Drosophila melanogaster: one gene and its partners. The protein of the gene in region 3 binds, or shares a complex with, the protein of the main gene of each other region. Each region holds a gene or a part of one and is shown on either strand. Other genes may lie near its edges.

Region 1 (3,755 bases), on a different chromosome or scaffold from region 3:
TGCTGCCGAAGTAGAAGCGGCAAAAGCATCCGCTAGAGATCGCGACTTCGCATCCATTTTAAGGTTGTTAATGTTGGCGAAGCCACCTCCGGGTAGGCTTCCATCGGAAGGCGTCGGCGTATCCATTGAAAACTGGCTAAAGTTATTGCCTACTCCTGAGACAGGTCCACCACCACTCATGCCTCCACCTCCGATTGCTCCAGAACCAGATCCAGGTCCAATCGCGCCATGCAGTTTGAATTCGTGCTCCTCATCCCAGCACTTAAGCAACTTGTAGATTACCATCGGAATGGATACCACTTTGCGCGCGGTGCGGGTTAACTTCTGGGACAGCAGCTCGTATTCGTTGGTCAGACAGTAAACGCTGCACGTGGGCTGACCATCCTCAAGCAGAAAATCCACAGTGGCCAGCGACTCTTCGTACGGGTGCTGCAGCTCAACCGTGATTTGATTAAATGAAACGGCGGTTACCTCCAGTATCACAGTGCTGTCCATATCTGGGACGAATGAGCATAAAAAAAATATTATTATCATAAAACAGGAATGTGGGGGGAAGTGGAGCACCCAACTCACCATTATACTGCTTCTGCTGCTCACGAACACAGCTTGCGAGCAGGGTGTAGAAGAGAGCTTGTTTCTTGAGGAACGCCACGATTCGCGGAACCTGGGCGGGTTCAGTGAAGGGCAGTGATGACACCAGAGTTCCCTGCAGTTTGCGGTTGTCGGTAAAGAAATAGCAGTGCGTCTCTTTAGGTAAATTCACATACAGGCCGCGCTGTGTGTTCTTAATGGCCTGCTTCGATGCAGTTTGTACTATGAGATTAAGCACTGTGGTGGGCGGACCAGGAGGAGTGGCAACTGAGTCTAGACCGGGCAGACCGAGAGCCTTTAGTGATTCCAGGCAAACAGGCATGGGTTTGTTCAGCCGAAGCACAAACGTGGCCGGCATCAGCAGCGAGTTGTTCTGGTTAAGTTGGGCATAGGTGGGAACCTCCAACCCCGTTTGGGCATCGCGGACCAAAGTCACCGTTGGCAAAGTCTGCAGTTTGTTGGCTGATGAGCCTTCGAGATTGATAGTGGCACTCAGTCCGTAGCTGCTTCGCATTACCTGGTCGATGGTGAAATCGCCGCTGGCCAGTTTGGGATCCCCTTCGGGAAGGTGGAGCGGCGGGCAGAAATAAGTAAGCCTCATAGGATGGCCACCGCGACGGGGCAGCACAAGACCCACCGATGAACTTGTCATAAGTGAGTAGCTGTCTCCGGAGTGACCTTGCAGGTGCAGTTGGTATAGGCTCTGGATATCCGTCTCCATGGCCTGAAGCGCTACAAACGCCTTCTTTTTCACCTTGGGCTCGGCATTCAGCTGGTAAATGGAGGACAGACCCTCGAGTTGAACCGTAAAGTCTGCAAAGTCGCCAGACTTGAGGCAGGCCACTAGCTCGCTGGACTGTTGCTCGATCTTGCACTCGTGGTGCACCTTGACGTCCGACAGACTGCCGGCGGCGTCCAGCAGGATCTCTACGTAGAACATGTCCGTTGATATGAAGAGAAGCTGCTGGTCCTCCATGAACTTGAGGCCCAACTGGCGCGAGAGGCTCTCCAAACGCTCCACAAGGCCGTGGCGTGACGTGACCTTGATGTAGTGCTGCAACTTGTCCAGCGCCGACTGCAGCGTGGCCTTGCACAGGGGGTCCAGAGGGTAGTGCTTCTCGATAAAGTACATACGCACCGACTTCTTGATCTCCTCGTAGCTCTTTGGCTTGTTCCGGTACTTGGCCCGCAGCTTCTCCATCATGGTTTCCTGCTGGATCTGCTTGTTCTTTTCCTCGATGCTGGGAATGTGGCTGCCGAAGCCTGTGCAGATTTGTGTCAGTGGTGCTCCGGACATCTTAGTTATGGGGGTATATATTAGTACTTACCAGTCCCCGAGGACTTTGCATTGGATCCGCTCATATCTATGCGTTCCTAAGTAAACTGTATTTACTTAATGATGCTGTGGCATTTTTGACAAAGAATTGCGGCAAATGAAAAAGTTCTCGATCTAAATAGCTCAGAACCTTTTTTCTATGCCTTCATCATGGCAAAAAAATTTCAACGCCAAAACAACAAAATGGCTGATCCTTCACAGTGGCTGGTCACGCTATAATAAAATACTGGAATATAAAACGGAACTATGATATTTCCACTGCGTCATTTGATATTCGATGTATTCTGATTCAAAGCTTGTATCAATTGCCTGTTCAATTATGTATGTTATATTTTTTAGTATGAGGGGTAAATATAATGAAGCAATTAACATCTATATTCTATACATCCTTCTGGTACTTTTACATTCTATTTTTTATGATGTAATTGTGCCTCATTTCCTACTCGAATTTTCTCTTAAGCTACAAGGGTATTGTAATGAACAGAAAAGCTCAAACATTCTTTCGTTAAAAAATAAATTACAGGCCTCATAATTTAATACCGATGATTTAATATTTATTTAAAATTTCCAATGATTTCTAAATGTCTTATTGGCATAAAGTTTAATTTGGGGTTTCTGTTCCAAGAAACCGAAAATGATTATTTAAAGTTTCTTGAGATTTGAAAGAAACTATAATCCTATAAAAATAAATATCAGCTAAAAAAAACTTTAAGGACTAATCAAATAAGTAAACAAATACAGCTTACGACTTAAACAAATTTTATTTCGCTAAATTCATGATAAGTCTTAAGCGTTCCTCTCTTCCTCGTACTTACCTAAACTACGACAGATATACGGATTATATTGAATATAGGTTTGGTCCGACAAATCAAAAGTAGTCATAACCTTTACTAAAGGTAGATGTTATATTTCATAGAAAATTGCAAAAGCTTAAATTCAAATTTTATTAAACATTTAAAGTATTTCAAATTTCTGTTTTCTCTAAATTATTTTGGTATATTTATTATCATCAAAGTGCAGAGCGATATTTGTATGCATGCGCGGTCACATTGAGCGTAAATGATAAATATTTGTTATTAAAGTGTTTCGGAACCAAAGGTTAACAATTCAGCCACATGACGTCCATTGCGGGAGGCCACGGCGAGGCGAATCCAAACAGCTCCTGGCTGAGTGCCCGGGGATTTTGGCTAGCATACCTCCTGGGCCTGCTGTCGGTGCACCTGCTCTTCTTATCAGTGCCCTTCGTTAGCATTCCATGGGCCTGGACGGCTACCAACCTGCTTCACAATGCAGTGAGTGCTCATGGCGCCGTTGAGGAGTCAGTCCTTATCCTAATCCCTCTTGCCAGGCCCACCTGTACTTTCTGCACGTCATCAAGGGCGCTCCCTGGCTGAGCACGGAGAACGATCCCAGCCGGCGTTGGACGCACTGGGAACAGATCGATGACGGGGTACAGATGACCACAACGCGCAAGTTCCTCACAGCTGTTCCCATTGTTCTGTAAGTGAATACGTACTGAAAGTCGGCCAATATAGGTGGGTTTTTATTTAAAAAAATTAAAACTAAATGAAGACTTAAATTCTAAACTTGTTTTAATGTTGATCAAAGTATTTCAATAAATACTTTTTATGTACTGCAGTTTAATTGAACTAGTAATGTAATTGCTACCATATAATGCCTAACATAGAAACTCATGAAATAATTGATTTTTTTATAGTTTCCTACTTACCTGTCTGTACACCCGAAACAACACGGAACACTTTATCCCAAACTTTATATCCCTGGTGGTCGTCACGCTTCCCAAGCTGCCGCAGTTCCACGGCGTGCG
Region 2 (3,755 bases), on a different chromosome or scaffold from region 3:
GAAACAAGATCACTAGCACATCGATGTTGTCCATCGTCTTGGTGTAGACGGGCAGGCACTGGGTGTTTAACAGGCCCCAAATGCGGATCATAACCAGCAGCTCGCGCAGACTGCTGATGGCCACGATGTCTCGGCTGATATCGTAGCTAGGCCGCTTTCCGGAGAGCTTGGTCTTCATTACCTCCTCGGGCAGACGATGCAGCATGTTGAGTGCCAGGTCGGTGACCCACTGAATCAGTTGCTGTAGACTTTGCAGCATCACCGGCTCCACTGTAAAGTCCTTGGCGTCCAGGTTCAGCATCACGGTGTCCACATCCGGAATGGATTCGGCCAGCTTGATGGCCAAGTTATCGGCAGGTCCTTTATCCTGGAAACCCAGATCAGACGGTCGCAGGAGGCTCTTGAATGTGGTGGATATTGCGTGTAGGATAATGAGATTGTCAAACTCCTGCTGCTGCATGCGGCATATGTTGGACTTGAGGGCCAAAAAATTAGCATAATAAAAGTGCCGCACAAAGGAAGGTTGCCGCGTAAAGTTGTCGGTTAGCTTCTCCACCAGAGCCTCCAGGTTGCCTAGATTAAGGAGTAGCACATCGCTGGCATCGCAACCTGTAACGATGCAATATTCCAGAAGTAGCAAACCAGATCCTCCTTGCTTCGGCAGAGGTGCCTGCATGGCGTAAAGTTGTGCATGGCTATCAAAGATTAGGAGAATTTGGCTGCTAGGTGTCAAGTCGCCGCTAACGAACTTTACTGCTCCACTGGCGTCAGATAACCTATCAAACTGGGTGTGATTAAGCTGCTTCATCGAGTTGGGCTCCAGCACCTGGACGCTGTTGTCCTGCAGAATGGCGTACACTTGGCAAGAGTCCGGCGTTGATACCGATAGTCGTGTAACGCTGATATCCGCCAAGGATGCATTTAGTTGCACTTTGCCCACCTGCTCCCAGCTTTCCGATTGCACGAACTCATTTGGCTTGTTGTTGGCACCTCCTCCACCCTGGAGAAGGGCGTGGACACTTTGGTGACGGCGTGTCAATGTCCATTGCTCCAGTTGGCTGCCAGCACCATCTGGACAAGCGTAGGCTATAAAAATCACATCCTCGTTGGCTATTCGCGTCCATTTTAGGTGACTGATCCGCCTCCCGTCAAGAGGACCCAGAAATATGCTGGTCTGGGACTCGGATTTGATGGCCAAGTGCTGCTCCAGACCCAGTTCGCCCTCCAATGAAAGCGAGACCTTAAAGCATTGCACCAACTGTTGCTGCCAGCCACAGCTGAAAGCGATATTAAGGGCTCCCGATGGACTTGGCGTCATGCTGCAGTGTTCGATGAAGCTGCGCGATATGCCGATGCTGTGGAGCGCGGGTGTCAACTCGACGACCTCGTGGGCAGGACCATCAGCTCCTGCGGCGGATGTCTTTTGGATTGCGGGGAGACTGAAGGCGGCCAGCAGGCCTGAGGAAGTGAGTAGCACGCATCCCTCGCTGGCCACTCCGCCAAATCCGCTGAGAGTGGGCCTCTGCTGCTCCACCCGCTCGAACTTCTCCGCATAGTAGGTGTGATCCTTCTTCAGCGCATTGAAGATCACTCCTTTGCCATTCTGAAAGAACTGTGCTTCTATAATGTCCTCGCTGGGCACGGTGGCGTAATACTGCAGCACCCATAGGTTAATTGACTGGTTCCTCGGCTGCCAGATCTCGACGCGACCGCCGACGTATCCAAGCAGCAGTTGCTCCCCATTGGGACTCCACTGGAGGACGCTGATAAGCGATTTGGAGGAGCACACCTTATAGTATTCCCACGGCGTCACGATGTCGCACACGTACACATGGCTGTTGCTCGCGCCTACGGCCAAACCCGCTCCCGGCAAGGATCCATCGCCGGCATCTCCTCCGTGGGAAGCCGGAAATATGGCGCTCTGGAGGGCGCTAAACGCAACGATGTTCCGTGCGGAGACTGAGCAGAGGACCTTCTTGTGCGGAAAAACGCTGTCCTTGCTGAACTCCTTGCCCTCCACTTTGTACAAAATCGTCATTTTTGCAGCGTAAACAAAAACCAAAGCGGACTATTATTGTTTTGCACCCGGCGTCTGCCAACACTACTCTGTGAAGAACTTTACAGCACTGTTTCGCGGGTGTTTAGCGCTTTTCCACTGCATTTTTGATTCCATTGTTACTGTAAAATGTTTGGTTTTTATGTTTAGATTTAAGATAGTGCTCATTAATATTTTAATTCTGAACAGCAAATAAAGCTTTTACAGCGCAGCAGCTTTAAATCATTAATCATTTAAACAAAAATTAAGTTATTAAATAATAGCCAGTTTCTCACTGTTAATTATTTTACGGTCGCCCCAATTTAAGCAAGAATTATTATGACCAGTTGGCCACACTGTCCCTCGTTCAATTTCGCTTTGTTTACATCTGGTGATTATATTATAGTTTATTGTTTTACCGATTTTTTTTTTTTAGTGGCCGCAACAACAGGTGAGATAAGTTTCCGTATTCGCAGCCAGGACGCCGTTCCCCGATCGAGTTCGATTCGTTCGCCAAACAAAAACGGCTGCAAACCGGCTTTTTATATTTATCAGCAGACGTCTTGTGTTTGAAGCGATATTACTCACAGTTTATTGAACTCTGAGGCAGCGTACATTAACTTAGGGCAATAAATACATACACGTCTTACGGACTAACTAATTATGATATCGCGGCTGAAGTGGCTACACCAGGTTGGCATAGCGCAGTCCCTTGACGAGACTTCCGCTGAAGCTGTCCTCGTCAGTGAACCGAATTCCGTCCGCCTGGCAGGACTGCAGGCTGCACGGATACTCGGCGCCGTAAGCACTGCTGTCCCAGCGGATCTGCAGCTCATAGGTCAGCTCCGGATTCAGCACACAGGCCTCTTCGCGTCGCCAGCCAAGATGCAGGTTGCAGTTGTACTTGGTATTCTGGCTCTGGACAACGTGACTCCATACGGGCGACGTGGCCGGACCCTCGCTTTCAGCGGGCACCTCGCAAAGGTCCAGCCGCAGCGATTCGCGGTACTCCAGCTGCTGGACGTGACCCAATAGGTTGGGAGTCAGCCTGCTGTTCAGGACCAAGCCCATCAAGGAGATAAATCTAGAGCACTTTAGACGCAAGCGAAACAGCGGAGTTTCTGCATCCACTGTAAAGGGCCTGCAGGCCTTGTAATAGCAGCGCTCCACCAAAACCACCGGAGTTAGGGCAGGTGATTCCAAATCACTAGCACCCGAAGCCGCAGGCCAGTCGCTTGTTTTGCCACCCAAGTCGTGCACTACTAAGTCGGCATCGCTGGGACCCAGACCCAACTGCTCGCACTCCTGTCGTGTCCACTCATAAACATACCAGATGAGTAACTTGTGCGGTTCCTTGCACGCCGCTATTATGGCCTTCACACACTCCTTGGACACGTGCACATAGTGCTCCTTAAGGTGGCTCATATACTGTCCATTATTAACACAGCATCGCATGAAAAAGGTCATGCAGACCTCCAGCAACCCGTCGAGGCCCATGCAAACACTTAGCTCTAGAGCGGGCAAGATATTGGCAAATCGCAGCTTGCGGGTGATAACCATCAGCGTGTCGGCGATCAGCTCCTCCAGCAGATACTTCTCAGCGGCGTAGTACAGCTCAATGCAGGCCACCAGCTCCAGGCCATTGTAGTCAACGACGCCCGTGTAGATGTACTCCACCAGCACCTTGAAGATGGCAGAGCTTATGTCGTGGATTTCGATT
Region 3 (3,755 bases):
AGTGTATTCACTTCACGTTGTTGCAAAATAAATACTATTATAAATAGCCGTAAAATTGCTATTAAGTAAAGTTTAAAGACCCAGAAGTTCAAAAATTTTAATACCCGAGTTAGTAGCGTGTCTGTGAAACACTCATACCAATACAAAACGTGTATTGCTCAATCGTTATGCTTACAAATATGCACACTTCGAATGTAAAGTCTGTGCTTCCTGAGCGCACTTCCTTGAATATGAAAATTTGTATTTGTCCAAAATAAGGAAAATTAATAATTTATGGTTGACTTCCCGACTTTATTACAATTCGCCATTTTTACCAATGACAGCTGCACTTCAAGGGTGGCAGAAAATCGATAAGTATTTAACAATTATTATCGATATACTTTCACGTGAATTTCTTTTAACAGGAAGGCCTGATCATACTGCTATCAAACAGAATTGAAGAGGAATTGTATTATATGTGACATGAAAACCTATAGGAGTATTATATAAAGTAAACGTCCATTTTTGGGCTAAATGCGTGAATCTCAAAATGAAAAAAGGGTCAAATATACCAGACCAGAAAATGAAGGTTTTGTTGCTTTGTGGTTTGGATATTTTCCCGTTGTCCTATATATTTTGTAAAATATAAAACGATTTCGTAGATTCTCCGTCCAGTTACCCGCTTTACTTAATATGGAGAATATTAAAATATTGTTTGTTTTTTTACCCTTAACTTATTTTATTCGGACTAGCAATGCCGTTTTTTTTTTGTTAAGGATATATAAAGATTCTTAAACTCTTTCATTTCAATGCGAAATATTTGAAAAAAGTGTGTATATATAGGATTTGTACAAAACAAATGCTCTCGGTGTTCTTCAAAAACAAAAAACAAACAAATGGCTTACAATTACCAAACCCCATAACTTGGGTTAAGGGATCATCTCACAATTGAAAAAAAGTAAACTATAGTACTATCCTTCAGCACCAAAATCGAGTATATATTTTTTTCTTATTGCAAAACCTTTGGAAGCCTTTTGTATATAAGAATATATTTTACATTTAATAAGCAACAGAAAAAGAATATGTTTAATTTTTTATATTCACATTTTACCACAGCGGCTTTTTTTTTAATATGTTCTATAATATTATTCTTATTCTGAACCTCGAGCAGAAGAGATTTTATTGACCTTCCCGTCTAAGAACTGAGCTACCCCATGCTTATACTGTGTTTCCGTGTTTGACAAAAACCAAAACTGACTGTGTCCATATATATAGTGTAATTGGAATATAAACGGTTAGTAGTACTAAATTAGGAAGAATGCTTGTCCGATCCGTTCACACTGGTAACGTTAGAATACCGGAGAAAAACTATTATTACTTAAAATGCTAATTAAGTTTAAAAAACATTTTTGTATTTCAGTACAATAATAAAAAATTTAATCATCTCCGCTAGTGAGCAAAATTCAAATATAACGACAGTGACTCTTCTGCATATAAACTTGAGATTTGCAAAAATATAGATGCATCAACTTCATAAATTCACACTTGGCTGGTTTGTCGCTCTTACCGAAATATCCTGATATATTCCTTTTGCACATACATAAATATACTTATATTATATGTCGTTTTTAATACATACCCCCACATTAATCACACTGCACATGGTCTATTCAAAGCCATATAAATAACAAGATGCGTAACGGCCATACCAAAGACACTAGAATAACAAGATGCGTAACGGCCATACATTGGTTTGGCACTATGCAGCCACTTTTTTGGTGACGGCCAAAATTGCTCTCTTTCCGCTCGCTCACGCTGAGAACATAAGAAATCTAAAAATAGAATTTGCTTGCTTGTGTGAGTAAAAACAAGAGACGGGAACGCGTATATGTGTGGGTGTTGTGCTAGAAGACGATTTTCGGGCCGAAATCAATTCTGATCAAAGAAATGAATTTACATTGTACATATTAGGGTAGTTTTTTGCCAATTTCGTAGCAATATGATGAAATAAAATAATTTTTAAAAATTCGCGCCCTTCTTATTATAATTTTAAAATTTTAATTTTAATTTTAAAATTTTTTAATTTTAAAGCTTTTTAAATTCGTTTGTTAAAATCGCCGCTCGAATTAGCTACCGTTTACATATTTATATTTATGTTGATAATTATTTATGTGTAATATGTGTAATAGTCGGTACCCAGGGAACACTACGGGGAGGCCATTACAATTGTAATGGGGTCTTATATTTACGTATATGACCTTCGAGTCGACTTGAAATATTTTAATGTTTAACATTAAAACATTTCCATATTCCCCAATTAAGTTATTTTTCTAACTATTGTTTTTTATTATATATTGCTCGATTTTTCAGTCGTCAGTTATTTAAATAACGCTCATTTTTTTTATTCATGAGATAGAATGCTGAGCTTAGCTTGCTTTTTTTGTCTATCAGCTATCACAGTCCACTTACAATGCTTAAAAAGCAAAACTTTTATAAGTTTGTTTAAAAGATCTGTTCTATGTGCATAACATTCATTATTTTCATAAAACCATAATGGGAAGGCACTACTTTCATTTGTGCACTTAATGCATTGCTCAACAATAAATTTTTTTATACACATTTGTTTTTTATTATTTTTAAAAATATTTTCGAAAGCTTTAATGTGTATTTTGTAAATATTAAAAAATAAATCAGATGGTGCCCTTAATTTCCCGAAGTCCGATTCTATTGAGTAGTTTTTCTCATGTATAAAAAGCTCTGATGGAGCTGTTAAATGCTCGGTTTCTTTTAAAATTACCGATCTGCATTTATCGCAACTGGATCCCTTAGCAATATATCCAACAAAATATCTACTGGAAGTTAATTCAATGGGTACATCATTGCACAAAAAGTTATCTATATTTTGGTCAAAGTACCTCTCATTGTCTTGCACGATTTTGGAAAATGATACAGAGTATTCTTGTTGCTGTATTTCTTTTTTTTCAACGAAAGGCTGATATATTATCGAATCGAACTCTATTGGCAACATAACATCATCATCTGATTCGCAATTCGACTTTTGTGAAAATTTAAAAATGTGTAGAGATATGAGCTTGGCAATTATTATATTAAATTCGTTAACTGAAGGATTTCTGCAGTTACCACCTTTTGCTCGAACGCACGCAAATATATTTTCAAGGGGATCCTGGTTAACTCTACTAGTTAAAAAGAAAAAGTGGTCTGTGTGATCCTTAAAGAGATCTTCGACGAGTCCAAATATAGCTTCAGTAGTTTGGATCAAGCCATCAACACAATATATTTTATTCCCGTGATATTTAACGCTCTTTAGGTATTCCTGCATTTCCTTTAGTTTGTTCCAAACTCCATTGTTAACTTGGAGCGCGCATTTCATGGGGTTTTTGTCAGTTAATACTCTGCTATTCAGGCAATCAAAGTAATCATTATCTTTTTGGACAAATGCAGCCGTAGAAGCTGCAACTTCGGAACTATTTCGATGTAATTGCTTGTTTTGGTTACAAGTCTTAATTGCCGCTGCAACAGTGTGGCTAAGTGTTTGAGTTGCCAAACATACGCGCATTAGCTCAAATCTGGTTGGATTAACGTGACTCCTTGTTAATTTAGTCATTCTCGTTACTGATCCATGATCTAATTCGTAAACCTCTCGAATGACATCAAAGTCAACTAGTCCGTCAGGGGTTTCAAAATTAGCTCTTAGAAAATTATTCCTTACAGACTTGAAAAGATGCGGAATGTCATAAAACATATATTTTTTATTA

The links.
Region 1: MED26 (region 3) and MED1 share a complex: the UniProt entries of both Drosophila melanogaster proteins name them as parts of the mediator complex.
Region 2: MED26 (region 3) and MED16 share a complex: the UniProt entries of both Drosophila melanogaster proteins name them as parts of the mediator complex.

What each region holds. Positions count from the first base shown.
Region 1 is NT_037436.4:21,632,343-21,636,097, forward strand, and holds the start of MED1 (mediator complex subunit 1), read right to left. Parts: upstream 2,105-3,755; 5' UTR 1,954-2,104; coding exon 1,920-1,953; intron 1,855-1,919; coding exon 574-1,854; intron 498-573; coding exon 1-497. Other genes in the region: ORMDL (orosomucoid 1-like), read left to right, coding at 3,043-3,219, 3,276-3,427, 3,645-3,755. UniProt on the Drosophila melanogaster protein: Component of the Mediator complex, a coactivator involved in the regulated transcription of nearly all RNA polymerase II-dependent genes.
Region 2 is NT_033778.4:22,181,494-22,185,248, reverse strand, and holds the start of MED16 (mediator complex subunit 16), read right to left. Parts: upstream 2,112-3,755; 5' UTR 2,039-2,111; coding exon 1-2,038. Other genes in the region: CG11275 (uncharacterized protein), read right to left, coding at 2,720-3,755. UniProt on the Drosophila melanogaster protein: Component of the Mediator complex, a coactivator involved in the regulated transcription of nearly all RNA polymerase II-dependent genes.
Region 3 is NC_004353.4:787,277-791,031, forward strand, and holds the start of MED26 (mediator complex subunit 26), read right to left. Parts: upstream 1,703-3,755; 5' UTR 1,619-1,702; intron 339-1,618; exon of another isoform or gene 176-338; intron 1-175. UniProt on the Drosophila melanogaster protein: Component of the Mediator complex, a coactivator involved in the regulated transcription of nearly all RNA polymerase II-dependent genes.